Linked DNA regions of Drosophila melanogaster. The protein of the gene in region 2 purifies or fractionates together with the protein of the main gene of each other region. This does not show direct contact. Each region holds a gene or a part of one and is shown on either strand. Other genes may lie near its edges.

The links. Proteins that work in one complex are often made in the same cells at the same time.
Region 1: the proteins of exu (region 2) and yps purify together in Drosophila melanogaster (affinity purification with western blotting; one study listed by BioGRID). This does not show direct contact.
Region 3: the proteins of exu (region 2) and DCP1 purify together in Drosophila melanogaster (affinity purification with western blotting, with the first as the bait; one study listed by BioGRID). This does not show direct contact.

What each region holds. Positions count from the first base shown.
Region 1 is NT_037436.4:12,120,785-12,127,115, reverse strand, and holds yps (ypsilon schachtel), read left to right. Parts: upstream 1-1,965; 5' UTR 1,966-2,229; coding exon 2,230-2,404; intron 2,405-3,541; coding exon 3,542-4,279; intron 4,280-4,342; coding exon 4,343-4,440; coding exon of another isoform or gene 4,441-4,452; exon of another isoform or gene 4,453-4,961; coding exon 4,962-5,009; 3' UTR 5,010-5,436; downstream 5,437-6,331. Other genes in the region: Ir68b (ionotropic receptor 68b), read left to right, coding at 1-1,629; CG11560 (uncharacterized protein), read right to left, coding at 6,057-6,331.
Region 2 is NT_033778.4:20,666,927-20,673,492, forward strand, and holds exu (exuperantia), read right to left. Parts: upstream 3,836-6,566; 5' UTR 3,712-3,835; exon of another isoform or gene 3,710-3,711; intron 3,566-3,709; exon of another isoform or gene 3,452-3,565; 5' UTR 3,425-3,451; coding exon 3,275-3,424; intron 3,206-3,274; coding exon 3,053-3,205; intron 2,970-3,052; coding exon 1,674-2,969; 3' UTR 1,649-1,673; exon of another isoform or gene 1,426-1,648; intron 1,357-1,425; 3' UTR 501-1,356; downstream 1-500. Other genes in the region: Fem-1, read right to left, coding at 1-268; galla-1, read left to right, coding at 4,458-4,752, 4,820-4,932, 5,193-5,343, 5,414-5,511. UniProt on the Drosophila melanogaster protein: Ensures the proper localization of the mRNA of the bicoid gene to the anterior regions of the oocyte thus playing a fundamental role in the establishment of the polarity of the oocyte. May bind the bcd mRNA.
Region 3 is NT_033778.4:23,887,869-23,892,154, forward strand, and holds DCP1 (decapping protein 1), read right to left. Parts: upstream 2,409-4,286; 5' UTR 2,325-2,408; coding exon 1,206-2,324; 3' UTR 896-1,205; downstream 1-895. Other genes in the region: CG5597 (uncharacterized protein), read left to right, coding at 6-196, 257-534, 613-877; DNAlig1 (DNA ligase 1), read left to right, coding at 2,728-2,744, 2,802-2,864, 2,920-3,210, 3,271-3,903, 3,959-4,286.

The DNA.
Region 1 (6,331 bases), on a different chromosome or scaffold from region 2:
GCTGCCGAAAAGGGTGATTCCTTGGTACGCCGCATCCTGGACATGTTGAATCCTCACCAGAGGCGCAAGCATATGCACAAGTATCTGTTTGTTTGGCCAAATGCCGGAAGGCATCAGTTACTGCGACTTTTTCGCGGCAGTTGGGCCAAGAAGCTGCTCTACGGATTGGCCATTACCGGCAGGGAAAATGGCACCTTTGACTTTGATCCCTTTGCTTGGGGTGGTCTCCAAGTGATTCAGCGGCTGGATGGCGAAGTGCCGTACGCAAGAAAGGTGAAGGACTTGCGCGGCTACCCATTGCGTTTCTCCATGTTTACGGATCCGTTGATGGCGATGCCCAGGAGTCCTGTGGAGACAGCTGGCTATCAGGCAGTGGATGGAGTGGCGGCCCGAGTTGTTGGCGAGATGTTGAATGCCTCAGTAACATATGTCTTCCCGGAGGATAACGAATCCTACGGTCGTTGCCTTCCGAATGGAAACTACACCGGCGTGGTCAGCGACATAGTCGGTGGTCACACCCACTTTGCACCCAATTCCCGCTTCGTGCTCGACTGCATTTGGCCAGCGGTTGAGGTGCTGTATCCCTATACCCGTCGCAACCTGCACCTGGTCGTGCCCGCCTCCGCAATCCAGCCGGAGTACCTGATCTTCGTGCGTGTCTTTCGGCGAACTGTGTGGTACTTGCTCTTGGTCACCCTTTTGGTTGTGGTGCTGGTCTTCTGGGTGATGCAACGTCTGCAGCGAAGAATTCCCCGTCGCGGAGTCATCCAGTTTCAGGCAACGTGGTATGAGATTCTCGAGATGTTCGGCAAGACACATGTGGGTGAACCGGCGGGCAGGCTATCCTCCTTCAGCTCGATGAGAACGTTCCTCATGGGTTGGATCCTCTTCAGCTACGTCCTGTCCACCATCTACTTTGCCAAACTGGAGTCCGGATTTGTGCGACCAAGCTACGAGGAGCAGGTGGACCGAGTGGACGATTTGGTACATTTGGATGTGCACATTTATGCGGTGACCACGATGTATGACGCAGTTAGGAGCGCCCTGACGGAGCACCAATACGGTCTGCTGGAGAACCGTAGTCGCCAGCTGCCACTGGGAATAGCCACATCCTATTACCAGCCGGTGGTCCGGCGCAGGGATCGACGAGCGGCCTTTATCATGCGGGATTTTCACGCCCGTGACTTTCTGGCCATCACCTATGACTCGCAGGCAGAGCGACCAGCCTACCACATCGCCCGGGAATATCTGCGCTCTATGATATGCACCTACATCCTACCAAGAGGATCGCCCTTTCTGCACCGCTTGGAATCTCTGTACAGTGGCTTCCTCGAGCACGGCTTCTTTGAGCACTGGCGTCAAATGGATCTGATCACCCGGGTTGGTGCGTCGCCGGATGCTGAGGAGTTTCTCGAGGATCTGGGCGACCAGACGGACACGGATTCCGGCTCCAACGAGTTGGCGATTCGTAACAAAAAGGTGGTTCTCACTCTGGACATCCTGCAGGGCGCCTTCTATCTCTGGTCCGTGGGGATTGGCATAAGCTGCTTGGGATTTGCAGTGGAGCACGCTCATTGGTTTTGGCGGAGACAGACACTTCGGAATGCGGTTGAAGCTAGAACAAGCTAACTAAAAATATTAAAAATTACTAAATAAAAGGTACATATATGTTTGTTATTGTAAATACTATACTAAGTTTTCAATAAATTTCACCGCTGTTTAGTTGGACATGTTGTTTTATACATTTTAATGATAAAACTGTAGTTTTATATTATTCTAACCATTTAATGAATTTAACCATTTATTCCAATTAACCTTTCTTGTAAATTTAAATGTAACGGCTTTTTATGTTGTTATGGCTTAACATTCCGCGCGTAACAGCACACTGGAGACCCCCAGTATCAGAGCATCGATAGCACCCATCGATAGTCCGATCACCAGCAACCCTGCCTCCGGCTGTCATGTTTCACTTCCGGAGCTTGCGAACAAAATAGAATCGCTAAGGCAAAGAAAACCCTGCGAGTGGCGAGTGTTTTAAGATCACACTCAAAAACAACATCCAAAGTGGTTAGTGGCAGTTGAGAGAGTGCCCAAGACCCCGAATACCAGCCGGGCAGACACGAACAACACCAGCAGCAGCAGCACCACCATCATCAACAGCAGCAGCAGCATTTCCCGCTTTTCGTTTTCGTCGTCGCCGAACAACAAATAACAAAACCACGACAAACGATGGCTGATGCCGCGGAGAGTAAGCCACTGGCCGCCGAACAGCAGCAGGCGCAGCAGCAGCCGGAGCAGCAGCAGAATCCGCCGAATCCGCAGGAGCAGGATCACGAGCAGGAGCCGCTGGACGAGCTGCAGGGACAGCAGGGCCAGCCCGCTCCGCCCACCAAGGAAGTCATCGGTAAGGCTGAAACTCGCATGTTAAACCCAATTCCCAACCAATTTCATTCATGTGCCGCGAACACATGGCGGCTGCTACCAAAATAGCAATGAAAAAAAGGAGGAAAAAAGAACAAGAAACATGCCTCCCTGTATGCGTGTGTGTGTGTGTGTTTTGAGTCTTAAAATATACGCGCGTCGGCCATTTTGTGCGGCCAAAGGCAACGCAACGCATGTATATATGTATGTGCACGAACGCTCGCGCCGCCGGCTAACCAAATTGAAAATTCTGCCTTTTGCCGGTCGTCTGTCTTTCCACCCACCCAACCACCAACCCCACCCGCTTCGCCTCTTTAAAAAATGCCCCCCCATAGGTGTACACACACACACACATACACACATGCAGAGCGAGCCAGGGCAACCCAATTTGTTAATGCGCGCGCAGCGGGAGTGCGAACGAGAGGGCAGACAGCCGGGTGTGGATGTGTGTGTTCATTGTTTTGGTACATCTATTTGCACACACACACTAAAACGCATGGAAGCATGGCTATAAGGCGATTTCAAAACACGAGACCATAATGCAACCAATAAGATACAATAATATTCGGCGACTATTACAATATATTGCCAAATAATTTGGGATGCCACTATATTTTCGCGTAAATCAACATATTATATGCATACTTATATGGTTTATTCGAAATTTTGGTAACCATAGTTTTAAATAATTGTTAACCAATAATTTGTGGTTATAAAACGTCTTTCAATGTTATTGCACGCTTCAATGAGTTTTCAAACTGCGTATTAGTTTAGTTTCAGATGTATTGCGTTTTGCCCCTCCTTTATAATAAAAAAAAAATGCAAAGTATTATCTCAAAACTACCCCTTTTGTATAATTTAAGTTTCTTATGTAGAATTATTTGTATTTTAGAAGTCAGCTCGCTGTGCATCCCTACTGTTCCCTAATATTTTTGTTGCATGTATAATGTTTAAAGGATTATAATATTTGATAAAGGAATGATTGCAACTGATCCCAAACAAGTATTATACCATTGAAATCAATTAAATGATCACACGTTTGTAGAATAAGTACCGCCAAAAATATTGAATCCCACTATTATCCCCAATTGTTTATAATTTCTACTCTTTCCCATTGCAGCCACCAAAGTCACCGGCACCGTCAAGTGGTTCAACGTGAAGAGCGGCTACGGCTTCATCAACCGCAACGACACCAGAGAGGATGTCTTTGTGCACCAGAGCGCCATTGCGCGGAACAACCCCAAAAAGGCGGTCCGCTCGGTGGGCGACGGTGAGGTCGTTGAGTTCGACGTGGTCATTGGTGAGAAGGGCAACGAGGCGGCCAACGTGACCGGTCCCTCCGGTGAGCCGGTGCGGGGCAGTCAGTTTGCAGCGGACAAGCGCCGTAACTTCCGTCCCTGGATGAAGAAGAATCGCCGCAAGGATGGCGAAGTGGAAGGCGAAGACGCCGAATCGTCGGCCCAGCAGCAACAGCAGCAGGCGGCACCAATCGTTGACGGGCAGCCGCAGCAGCAGGTGCAGTCCGGCCCGCGTCAACCACGACAGAACTTCCGCCGAGGACCACCCGGTGGACCGCCCGGAGGACCTCGAGGTGGCCCCCGAGGACCGCCTGGTGGAGCTCCCGGTGGCCCCCGGCGCTACAACAACTATTATCTGCGTCAGCCGAGACGCGGCCTGGGCGGCGGTGACGGCAGCGCCGAGCCCGGTGTCCACGATCAGAATCCCGAGGGTCTGCAGCGCGGCGAGGGTCAGGGACCACGTCGCGGTGGAGGCCCACCGGGCGGACCCCAGAGGCGCTTCTTCCGACGCAACTTCAACAATGGTCCACCGCCACCACGCCGCGACGGCGGAGAATACAGTGAGTGAACTTTGTGCTATTAGATAATTGGTATATATTATTATTAATATTATTCTGTTGCAGTTCAAGGCCAGGGACCGCCACGCCCACAACAGCCACGTCCACGTCGCCAGAGGAAACCAAATGGCCCTGGCGGTGGTTCGGAGCAGCAGCCAGAGAAGGTAATGAACTAATCACCAGCATCATCACAACAGCAGAAACAACTGAAACATCTTCGCCGAAACAAACCTACGATAACAACATCTAAATTAGTAAACATCAGCAACAGTCAGTCGCAAGCATAACAACAAGGTCTACAATAATAACATGGTGAAGGCGTCTTAAAAACTAAACAACTAACTAAAGTGCATTGTGTAGATGCATTCGTAAATAACCACTAACAACCAGAGCAGCCACACGCACCGACACCAAAAGCAGAGAAACAGCGATAAAGCGGAGAAACCACCCTAACATTTAACACTTTACACTTAACTTGGAGGCTTTGGGTCTAACATAACATTCTAATACATTTAGTTTTTAGTTACCTAACCTGTGACTAATTGGCTAACAAGCAACACACACACACTTAATTTACAACCGAAACCAGCATTTTGCTTTCATCCCTTCGATTTATTTTTGAAGTTGTACTTACGTTAATGATTTCTACCCCCCTCGCCATGTTTTCCCATGTTCAAATTCCTAGAACGGCGCTCAAGAGCTGCAAAATACAACCACAGAGAGCACTGCATAGAAAAGGATCCGAAAGGATCTAAATCGTCAACCGACAAACAAAAACATCGTCAGCAGTAGCCGCAGTATATAACTACAATCGCAGAAAAACAGCAGCAGCAGCCCATCCTCAACATCAGCGACCAATGCAACATCATGGTGCAATAAGATCAGCAAATGTTGCAGCAAATTTTGCTAAATGAGCCGCCGCGTTTTTTCGGTTTGTTTGCTTTTTGTTTAGTTTCGTAGGGCAGAGAATCAATTGTACAACTCATACCACAACAAAACTAACATCCTCAAAATTTCAATCAAATTCAAAAACAAACAAAAAATTGTATAAAATTTCCATCAAGCCTGGCCGTCGTCAAAAAATTGCATAATTGTGGAATTTTTATTGTATGAACCAACAAACCAAACACGAAAACATAAATAAATTTCAATTACACTGCAATTTAGATGGCGCCGGTATACAATTTACTTTAATGATTATTACCATTTTTTATTTATTTATTCTTGAAAGCATTGTTACCCGTTGTGCGTTAAGCAAACCCATAACTCTAAGTTACTCGATTTAAAGATCATTAAAAACGTAAACCTATACCAATAACCACACCACCACTTTGTCCCATTTATGCATCATCCGAAATCGAGAACCATAGCCATCGGGCGAAAAGAAATGAAAGCAAAGCAGAGCAAACAAACAGAAGAACGAAATCATGTAAATCACAGCAAACAAACATACAAAAAAAAACTGTAAAAGATGCAAAAATATACAACAAACGCAAGATGGCAACAAAGGAAAGTAAAAAAAAAAACTTTAAAAACGTATTGGAAAAAATAAAAAAATTGAAAAACACTTTTTGGTATTGTTTATTTGTGTAAATTCTAAACTAAAGTGTAGTTTATAAATGTTTACTTAAATCGCTATCGAATATATTATTTTATATATTTATTCTAATTTTTATTATTTATTTATTGGGGATCTACGTTAAGTGAGCAAATCATTGAGTCTGCAATATAAATAAATTCTTAAGCTAATTTACATATGCGGTATTGGCATGGTGAGGTGCTACAGGTTTGTGGTCAAGGATGTGACCGTGGAAATGCTCAGTCGCTCCAGACGACCCAAGACCAGTAGTTCATCTATGGAGCGCTTGGCGTAGAACTTTTGGTCCTCGTTCAGCCGCAGGAAGGCGTGAGCCCAGGCTTTGGCATAGGATTCCGCTTCGGAAATGGCATTGGCATCGAACTGGGCGACACTTTCCGTTGGCTTGGGTTCGATTGCCTCACCGCCAGCATCGGATGTAGTATGTTGGATGTCACATAGGTCCAGCTCGATGGGCA
Region 2 (6,566 bases):
CCAGGTGGGTCTGCACCGCCCTGCAGCTAACCGAATTCAAGATCTCGACGAAGCTCAACATCTGACCACTGCGGGCCGCTAGGTGAAGGTTGTTTAGCTGGGAGAAACGTAGACGCGGCTCGTGGGGAAACTTGGCCCGGATCTCCTCGGAGATCTCCACCAGCATTCCGTGGGCCATGTTGAAGTAGCCGAAATCGGGCGGATAGCCGTCGTATATGGACGTATGTGCCTCGTCTAGAGGCGCCTCTTCTGCGGGATCGACGTCCATTCTGGCCGGGAAATGGACGATGCTGCACTGATCGGTGATCACTGATCACCAGGTATGGGTATGGAAGCAATCCACACAGGCCCACTCTTTCCAGGCCAGGCGGCAATACGGTCACACCTAGCGGTGCACCTGCGAGAGTGAAAACAGTGACTCGGCGCGATAGGCTGACCGTTAGTTTATCGTTCGTTTATTCGCGCCCTTTGCAGATATTACATATGTTTGTTGATTCGTTAGTTTATCGTTCGTTTATTCGCGCCCTTTGCAGATATTACATATGTTTGTTGATTGTAAATATGAAACATATATGAAATACAGCTTGAAATACTGGATATGTTCACAAGTGTTGGGTTAGATTAAGTGTGCGAATTGAATATGCTTTCTGTGTGCGTGCGTGTGCGTGCGTAAGGTTAACTGTATTAGATTGGTGTATTTTTATATCGTGCTTTCTTTAGCTTCAATGTGAAAGTTTTCTACATTGGACCAGGCCTGGATCTTGGGTTTTATTCATAGAGTTTTGATAGTGTGCGTCGACAGGCCCGTCCAATGGAAAATTTTCATCGAGGCGTTTCGTTTTGGATCATATTTTCCCAATCTCCCATTTGAGTGCGGCGATGTGCATCGGTTCGCCGGGAAAACTATGCCTAAACGCAGCGAGTTCTTAATTGTACATCATATTTGTTGTTCCTTCTTCTCCATCATTATTTCTAGCATACGCTGCTTTAAAGTGTGGATATATAGTCTCTTGAGTTTACAGTGGGCTCAGCATCCTCCCTATGCTGGACAATATAGTTTTCAAACGTCTCGATTAACAATTCACTCGTTTCAAAAATGTCGCTTGAAGCTTGTGTCATCACTATTCAACAGTCACTGTTTACGTCACAGTCACGGTTTACTCACACTATCGATACACCAACGTGCTCGTGAGTTGTGCGCGGATGTGTTTGTTGTGTTCACGGGAAATTTGCTTCCACTGGAATTTAAAGCTTGTCTGCACTAGATCTTCTAAAAGGAAGAAAGTTCGTATGTGGTTTAAATCTCCATTCTCTGCCCTTGTCTTCTTGTGTTTTGATCATCCATTTTTTGATATACTGAAATGGCAAAATGTCGGTTAGGAAACTCAATCCCGAAAATCCCAAAGTGATTTGAATGATTAGCTTAAGCGTTGTGAGTTTATATTGAAAATATGTAATAAAACCTTTTACATTTAGCTAAAAAAGGCTACATTTTTATCAATATATTTGATGCATAAAATTCATTAAAAATACAAGCAAGTGTACGCAATTCATAAAATTAATCAACAATCTACATGAAGGCTTACCCCTCGTTAACTACGTTATCTACAAAGCAAATGGCAGAAGTATCTCAATATAAGATATTTACTTTACGGATCCACCAGAACTGGATTTTAGTTGGAGGCCGTGATGGCCACCGGTGTCGGTGAGGGTTGTGCCACGACTGGGCTTATGGTTACGGCAGGTGGAGCGCTATTGTTGAGCTCAGACACGCCTGAGGAGGATATTTCAGCAGCAACCTTGAGTCCATTGGGGGTTGCACCCAAGCTTTGACGCGAGTTGCGCTTACGGTGCATACGCGGCTTGTTTGGCGAGGGAGTCTTGGTAGTAGAGTCGGGCAACGAGGAAACGCTGCGCGACTTGTCACCTCCTGCTCCAAACTCGGTGCTAGCCGATGGGGAGCTGGATGGCCTAGCGTCCTTCACCGATTGGCGGCCGCCGCGTCGATTGCGACGACGATAATTGTTATTATTGTTGCTGTTACCCTTGACAACCGGCTTCACCGTGGTCTTCTTGGGATCGAAATAGCTGTCCAGAAGCTCGAGCAGCTCCGCCTTGTCCTTGCTCTTTAGCCGGCCAATTGACTGCAGGGCTATGTCCAGGCCCTCGATGTTTTTCTCTGCCCAGATGGCACTTAGCGTGTTCAAATCGAACCCATTCTCGGCCAGCACAATGCGGAACTTTACGGCACGCACACGATGGTACAGAGTGGTCTTGAAGTAGTTCAGGAACACCGGACGGAAGGAGTTTTGACGCTCCAAATTTTCGATCTGGATATCCAGCTCCAGGACATCGGACACCACCAACTTGGCAAACGGACGTATGGCATTAAACATATTCTCCAATGCCTCCGAGCTTTTTGGTTCCGGCTTGCCGTCGGAGTTGCTCAGCTGAAGGGCCACATCAAAGGCCAATTTGGCACGAACACTGGCATTGCCATCAAACAGTTCCCGCTTACCCTGAACGGCGTTCTTGCTAGATTGCTTATCGTCACCATTGGTCACGGTACTGTCCCTGGGGGATATCGATACCGAATCGGACACCATACTAGATCCAGATCCCAAGCCAGATCCAGATCCAGATGTGGACGCAGAGCAAGCCGCGTCTTCCTCCTTGGTCGTGGACAAGATCTTGGAAAGCTTTCGCAGACTGTAGTTCTTTATGTTGGCATCGCCAATGGAAGCCTTGGCCAGATTGATGCTGTTTGCAAACGACTTCACCGACGCGGTGAAGCGCTCCAACAGGCCGTACTTCTTCAACGACTCCAGGATCATGTAGGGAATGAACTTGCGCTCTTCATGATAGATAAGCACAATCCCGTCCGAGCTGGGACCCGCCTTGGTCTTCAGTTGCTCAAGCCAGTTGAGGAAGTCCTTGAGGGCAGCGATCTCAGACTTGGATTTAATGATCTGAGAGGATATTGTATGTTGAATTGTGGATGCTTCAATACTTGACTGCCACTATTAAATGGACTGGACTGCACTGGACTCACCTTATAAGTCTGCATCGACTTCAGCATACGATAAAAGCCAATCGAAATAACACGAACTTGATGACGCTGGCGAGCAGCTGGATTCAGATTCATATATGGCATGATGTACTGCTCGAAGTGGTCGGTGGGTGTATAAGCGGCCAGCTGGACAATCTGTGGGTTTATCGCAAGTGGGGTTAGGACCGAACGACGAACGATCTAACGGCAGTCAGGGGGTATTACCTCATCCATTAGACGACGTCCAGTGGTGTCGATATCCACGCCCACCAGGATATAATTACCGGCCGGCAGCTCAACTTTATCGCCCACGGGCGACGAGGATTGATCGGCGACGGCAATGGCCACTCCGGCATCGATGTTATCGGCAACCATTTTCTTATATGATCTGCGAAAAGCAATCTAGAAAATTCGGATAACGAAATTAGCTGAGTCACTAGAATTTTTTTTTTTTAAGGAACCGATTTCCTTTGCAAAACGCGAACCGCTTTCACTAGATTTTCGATATGAAGTGACGGGCTACGAATTTTCAAGAGTCTATTAAACCCAAAGCTACAACTAACGGTTTTCTTCCAGTGGCGCCATCTTTTACACAGATGTTTTTATGTGTATGTATGTATGTTCACTTTCACCACACTTTAGCACTTTTCTTTTGGGCTCACCTTTATTGAACTCCTTTTTCGTGTTGGTTTCGATGGGCTCTTTCGCTTTTTACGAACTTTTTCCTTTATTTTTCAAAAGGTTAAAGCGAAATTTGCTTCTGTTCGACGAGCTTTCACAAATAAGAAACAATTCGTACGACTAACTAAAACGTAATGAATAATTTCCTGATGCACCCGACGGCCTAGGAAAAGTGCGCGAATTTGACATATGCAAAGCCTGCTAATCGAGGTTTTTGACTTAAGTACGATGGGTTAGACAGCTGCAACTCGTCCACATCTTGCCACAACGCCCACTGTGCAGGTGAAAACTTTTTGCAGAATATTTTTACCGCTGCTATAATAAAATATAGTCTTTCAGCTTGTAAATAAATTTTTTTCCAATTATTAGCCGGCAAAATTGGTGGGTAAACAACAAATATTTGGACAAAAGCGCAGACAAGAACTGATAAGAGGATCAGGGATGACGAATTTCAAATGGTTGCGCCAGAGATGACAGGGTATCGATATCACTATCGATAGACTTATCGAAGACGGCTTAGCACTTATACCTACTCTGCAGCCCTGGTCGGCAGAAAAACAATAATCAGCTGATGCCATCGCTTATTTCCAACAATTTGCACCGCAAAAGTGAAGAATTACCAAGCAAATAGATCGCCTGCCGACCGAATTATGCTGCTGTAATCACCCAAGCACACAACGGTAAAGATAAAACCAGGCGAGATAACACCACGCACAGGTGCCACAACATGCTGTCCTACATAAAGCGCAAGCTCTCCGAATCCGACAGCGGCGTCAGTTCGGTCGCAACTGTGACGTCGTCGTGCGGCGGCGATAGTGGGAGAGCGGGCGGAACGGGCAGCAGTGAAAGCGGTACGGGCAGCAGCAGCGCCAGTATCAGCGGACGCAGCCAGAACGCCGACGAGTTAGTGCGCAAAACGAGCCAGATGTCGATGGATGATGAGGCCATTGCCTTCGGGGAGGACGCACTGCTCCATGAACTGGGCTACAAGAATCAGACGGAACTGCAGGAAACCATCTACGGTTCGATATTTAATGGCATTCTTTTTCACTTTGGCCTAGTTATGTAATTTCTCTTGTCGTTACACAGATCTGTTGCGCGGCATTCGCGATCCCGAGAAGCCGTGCACTTTGGAGGACCTCAACGTTGTCTACGAGGATGGAATCTTTGTGATGCCGCCCACGCGCTCCAATGTCTCAGTTGTACGTTACTCAATATCTTTATAAGCCATAAGCTTGAGCCCTAATCATCATTTCATCATAAGTTAAATCTGCGCGTGTGTTTATTTGCTTTCATCACTATTGTTGCTTAATATTTGAAAGGATTAACGATTTAGCTTCAAAATGACTTTAAAATTGATCTCATAGCTTAAAGTACTTGTATTATACTAAATCCACACCTCATAAATCTTTTGTGTAGTAAAAAGTTGAAATGCATGGTATTTGTCTCTTAATTCTTTCAGGTTCGCATCGAGTTTAACCCCACAGTGCCACATTGCTCGTTGGCCACGCTTATTGGACTCTGTATACGCGTGAAAGTAGAACGCGGACTTCCGCACAACATAAAGCTAGACATATACATCAAGAAGGGAGCGCATCAAACCGAGGAAGAGAGTAAGTTGGACCAACCAGATACTATTATCATACATATGTGTTCTAAGTAAAAATGATTACGTTTCCCCAGTTAACAAGCAAATCAATGACAAGGAGCGCATCGCTGCGGCCATGGAGAACCCCAATCTGAGGGATTTGGTCGAGAACTGCATCAAGGATGAGGAGTAGCTCTCTTTGCCATATCTTTTGTACATAGGGAATACTTTGAGGAATGTCTAGGATTAAGTGTACCATTAAGTTGCATCAGGGAGTGTGTGCTTAGCATTAAAGCCCTTAAAATCTGTTAATCGCTCGGCCGTTTTGATTCCACCAGAATATCGATTGCTCAACGTCCTATCTATTTTCCCGCCTATGCTGCTTACTGATAAGGTCCCCCGGGCCCAACAACTCTCATTGTTTACATTGTGCCGAAGCGATATGGCCGTCGGACATTCGGCCCAAGAAAACCGTGTGCACATCGGTGTCATGGCGGGTGAATGAATCTGAATCGCAATCGTATCGATGGGCCGGCCATGTTGGGCACCAGCCAGACGGCGTGTACGTCACACGGATTTATCAGCTTCAGAAGAGTAGAGAATGTTTGGGGCGTAACGCAGGGTAATCACCTGCCGTTGGCGCTGTTAAGTTGAGTGCATGACACACATTCGACTCAACTCGACTCGGCTAATTTCTTTGCAACTCTCCGGTTTCAGTGAGCACTTTGTTGCCATGACTGTCGCTGTTTCTGCTCCAATTTGCATTTCCGGGGTTTTCCATTTGTTAAATTGCACTGCACTTCCGCTCATTTCGCTCTTACTGCTCCCCCCACCAAAGTGGCAAGCCATAAATATTAAGCAATATCAATTAGTTGCTTGCCATCGCGCTCAAAATGCTTTAAACTAATTTCCAAAGACTTAGGCAAAAAACATCCCCACCAGCAATTAAAACCATCTGGCGCTGCGAACTTTTTGCCATGACACCGCTGGCCAATATTCACGGAATGGAAACCGGACCAGAGCAGACCCTTCGTGCCCCTAAGGCGTGCCGCGTGCCTCAGAAGGCGAGGGAAAAATAATAAAAATGAATGCGCAGACAAAAGCATATTGCGAATATTACGCTAATTGGCGACTGCAATCAAAGCGGACCTCGGCCTGGACACGTCGGCCGAAAGGAATAGGAGTGGCAGACACTAGCTTCTCCCAGCCTTCCAGCAGCCGTGTCGCCAGCCTGACCATGACCGAAGC
Region 3 (4,286 bases), 3.2 Mb from region 2:
CCCAGATGCGCTATGCTATCCCACGAGGGATGAGTCCGAGGACAAGATTATAGTCCTTCAGAACGAGGAGATGGAGCCCACGATCCTGGACTGCGACTACGAGGTGGAGGAGAGCCCGAAGTTCATCACCGTCAAATGGTACAGAGACGACAAGTCCATATACCAGTGGATCTTCGGAACACCTCCATATGCCATCGTGAGTGAACCAAACGGTGTGGTGCGCTTAAGATACTAACCGCTTTCCCCTCCTTGATAGCCCGAGTTCAGGAACGAGATTGACAGCACCTATGAGAGCTCCACGGAGCCGAGCAAGCAGTACAGCTCGCTGGCTTTGATCAACCCCACGATCGCCACCACCGGCGACTACAAGTGCGTGGTGCAGACCTCGCTGAACACCTTCTCCAGCCACCAGAGGGTTCAGGTCATAGACCTGAGGAACTACACCCTGGAGCTGTCCCACAAGACGATCCACAATGAGACGCAGCTGAACTGCACCGTGACGAACGTGTATCCCAGGCCCACCATCACGATAATGTAAGGACGAGCGCCTGCCTTGTCGTAAGACAGCCTTGTAGTAAACAACGTCCCAACTCAACTCCGCTCCTATTACAGATCCAACGACATGGACGTGGTGAAGCGGGAGCCCATGGTGTACGAGAACGAGGAGGGATACTTCGATGGCAGCGCCGTGGTGGCGGCCTACGACACCGACGACGATCCCGATGCCTACCAGTGCGTGGTGTCCTTCGAGGGATACGGCAAGAACCTGACCACGGTGGCCACGTCCGCGGCGGCGGGCAGGAGCCACGTCGACTTCAGCCTGTGGCTGTTTTGTTTTCTGTACTACCTGCTCTGCAAGCTGAAGGTATTGGCCTAAATAAAAGCGTTGTTATTTATTGTTACTAAATTAATGTTTATTGAATTCTGTTTGCCATTCAACTACCTTTTCTACGCCCCTTCGGCCTAGTTAACCATTTTGTAAATAAATACGAATACTTCACAAAACCAACTACGTTAGTTAACTCTTAAGGTTGCTCTGGAAATGGATGCCGTCCTTCTCCGGCGGGGCTTCTAGATTTTAAATCTACGACTGCCCTTGTCGGCTTACAGCTATTACATTTTGTAAATTAACTCGGCTTGAACTCGAACTCCATGCGAACAAATGAAAATATGGGCTGCAATTCGGAAATGTTGAATATTTCTGTTTATTGATATGTGGAGCTGGAGTCCAGCAGTAGATTGGAACAGCCGTTCAGGTAGGCCTTGTGCAGCTTGTTGGCAAACTCCTTATCGTTCTGGATAAGGTACGTGAAGGCCTGGACGAACTGCGTCGAGTTCAGCAGTGGCTGCTGTGGCTGCTGTGGCTGCTGTGGCTCCGGATTGCCGTTGTTGGGCGCGTCGAACATGGTGGGCGGCATGAGGGCCGGCCCGGGCTTGTCGCCAGCCAGCAGTCTCCGCAAGCACTTGCCGGCATCGTCGTTGGCCATCAGCGCCGACGAGGACGGGGCGACTGTCGGAGATTGAGCCGTAGCGTAGCTTTTACCGATCTTCAGGTCGCTCAGGAGCTGAATGTTAAGCTGCTGCATCTTCTGGAAGGGCGACAGCCGGCTCTCGTGATTGTCCCTGCCTGCCGGGGGCAACAGATCCTCGCCAGGCGTGGCTGCCCGCTGCTGTTTCTCCAGCTGGTCCACGGAGAGCGGCTGGACGCGGTGGAACAGTGACTCTGCCGTGGCCTGCTTGGCCGATTCGAAGAACTTCAACACATTGCCGGCCGTTACGTTCTCCGCCGAAGGCGTCTTCGGCTGCCCGCCGCTCACCTGGGCATTGTAGTCCTTCTGGGCCTTGGTCAGCATGTTGAATATGCTGGCCGGCTGGCTGCTGTCCTGCTTTGGCTGCTGGGGCGCGGAGACGTGACGCTGGGCCTGGCCATTCGTTCCCTGATCCTTGGACTTGAGCAGCCCGTTCACCAAGCCGCTGATGCGGTCGCACTCCTCGCTGTTGTAGAACCAGAAGCCGCGGATGCGCGAGCGCTCGTTGCGGTAGAGCAGGAACGGCGGCTGCGACTGCAGCTCCAGGCTGCCGGTGATGGGCTCCACGAAGGACGTGGTGTTCAGTCGGTTGTTGATGAAGATGCTGTGAAAGGGCTCCGCGTTGCGGTGGTATATGAAGAAGGCTCCCTCCACATCGGTCTTTTCCCACTCGTTCTGCGACGAGTTGAACGTGTAGAAGGCGACGTGCGAGGACGAATCCACGATCTCCTTGGCGTACGGGTCGATCTTCTTGATGGCCGCCAGGTTCATTCGCGTGATGCTCTCGTCGGCCATTGTAAATTGTATGTAATCTTCAGTTTTGGCTGTGCTATTGCGAATTGCAATTATTTGTGAATTTAACGGCGCTCTGGTCACACTGCCCCGTGGATGTTTTCCCGTGTTTATCAACGACTGTGCTGCGGTCACACCGAATGACAATAAACTCTTCCTTTTGTCTATTAATGATTTGTTTGAGAAATATTAAGTCGATTGACTTGCATATAAAAATGGCCACAATTGTACGTAATAATATTTCTCAATTATGTAGCATAAACATTTAATTTATGTTTACTAATAAAATTTTCAACTTCGATAGCATTTCCATTTCAATATATCGATACTGAAGACCAGCTCTAGAAACTGGCGGGAACTAATTGCATTGCAATTTGTATTTATTTGAACACAGAATTGCCACAAAATGCAAAAGTCTATAACGTAATTTACGATTTAACAAATGCTAAGTATTGCCAATCTAACAATCCCCCGTTTCAGCTCCTTCTTCAAGAAGAAATCCGATGCCACCGACAGCCCCTCGCCGCCCAAGAAAGTTCCTAAGTAAATGGTGCCGCTGTTTTCTTGTTTCATTACTAAATTCCTCGACAAATCATAGGATTGATGCGAAGACCGAACTCCCAGATGAACCCCACATCAAGAGCGAAAGTGCCTCCCCGGAAACTAAGCCCAAGGTAGAACCTATGTCTGTGGATTCCGAGGAGAAGACAAGTCCGGTGAAAAATGTTAAGAAGGAACCAAAGGAAGTCGATGACAAGACCACTGACAAGAAGGTCACAACCATAGGTCTCAACTCCACTGCCGCTACTAAGGAGGATGTGGAAAACTACGATCCATCCGCCGACTCCTATCATCCGCTCAAGAATGCCTACTGGAAGGACAAAAAGGTGTAAGTAGTGCAGGATTTTGAGCCTCCAAGGCGAATTATATCAAAGGAAACACTTTCCAGCACTCCCTACTTGGCACTGGCCCGCACATTTCAAGTAATCGAGGAGACCAAAGGCCGGCTCAAGATGATCGACACGCTGAGCAACTTCTTCTGCTCTGTGATGCTGGTCAGTCCGGAGGATCTTGTGCCCAGCGTCTACCTCAGCATCAACCAACTGGCGCCCGCCTACGAGGGACTGGAGCTGGGCGTTGCCGAGACCACCTTGATGAAGGCCATTTGCAAGGCAACGGGGCGTAATTTGGCTCACATTAAATCGCAGACGCAGCTAACCGGGGATCTGGGCATCGTGGCCGAGCAGTCGCGCGTTTCACAGCGCATGATGTTCCAGCCAGCGCCTCTGAATGTGAGGGATGTGTTCCGGAAGCTACGCGAAATAGCCAAGCTATCCGGTCAGTCGAAAATGGACCTGGTGTACAATATGTTTGTGGCCTGTCGATCGTCGGAGGCTCGCTTCTTTATCCGTTCATTGATTGGCAAGCTAAGAATTGGCATTGCAGAGCAGAGTTTGCTCACAGCGCTGGCCATTGGTTTGGTGAAAAAGAACCACATCGATGATTGCAAGGCTAGCAAGGTGCCGGATGTGTATAAGGATGAAATAGTCGACACCACTTTGCTGTTGAAAACTGCATACTGGTAAGAACTAACTTAAGAACCAGCTAATAATTCAGATGCTAACGAACTTTTGCAGTCAGTGTCCCAACTACGATATCATTATACCGGCCATTCTAAAGTACGATATTAAGGAGCTGCAGGAACGCTGCCCCATGCATCCCGGCATGCCGCTGAGGCCCATGCTCGCCCAGCCCACCAAGGGGGTCCATGAGGTATTTGAGAGATTCGGCGGCATGCAAATCACCTGCGAGTGGAAATACGATGGAGAGCGGGCCCAAATCCACCGCAACGAGAAGGGGGAGATCAGCATATTCTCGCGCAACTCCGAGAACAACACGGCAAAATATCCGGATTTGATTGCCAGGAGCACTGCCTTGCTCAAGGGCGACGTAAAGTCCTACATC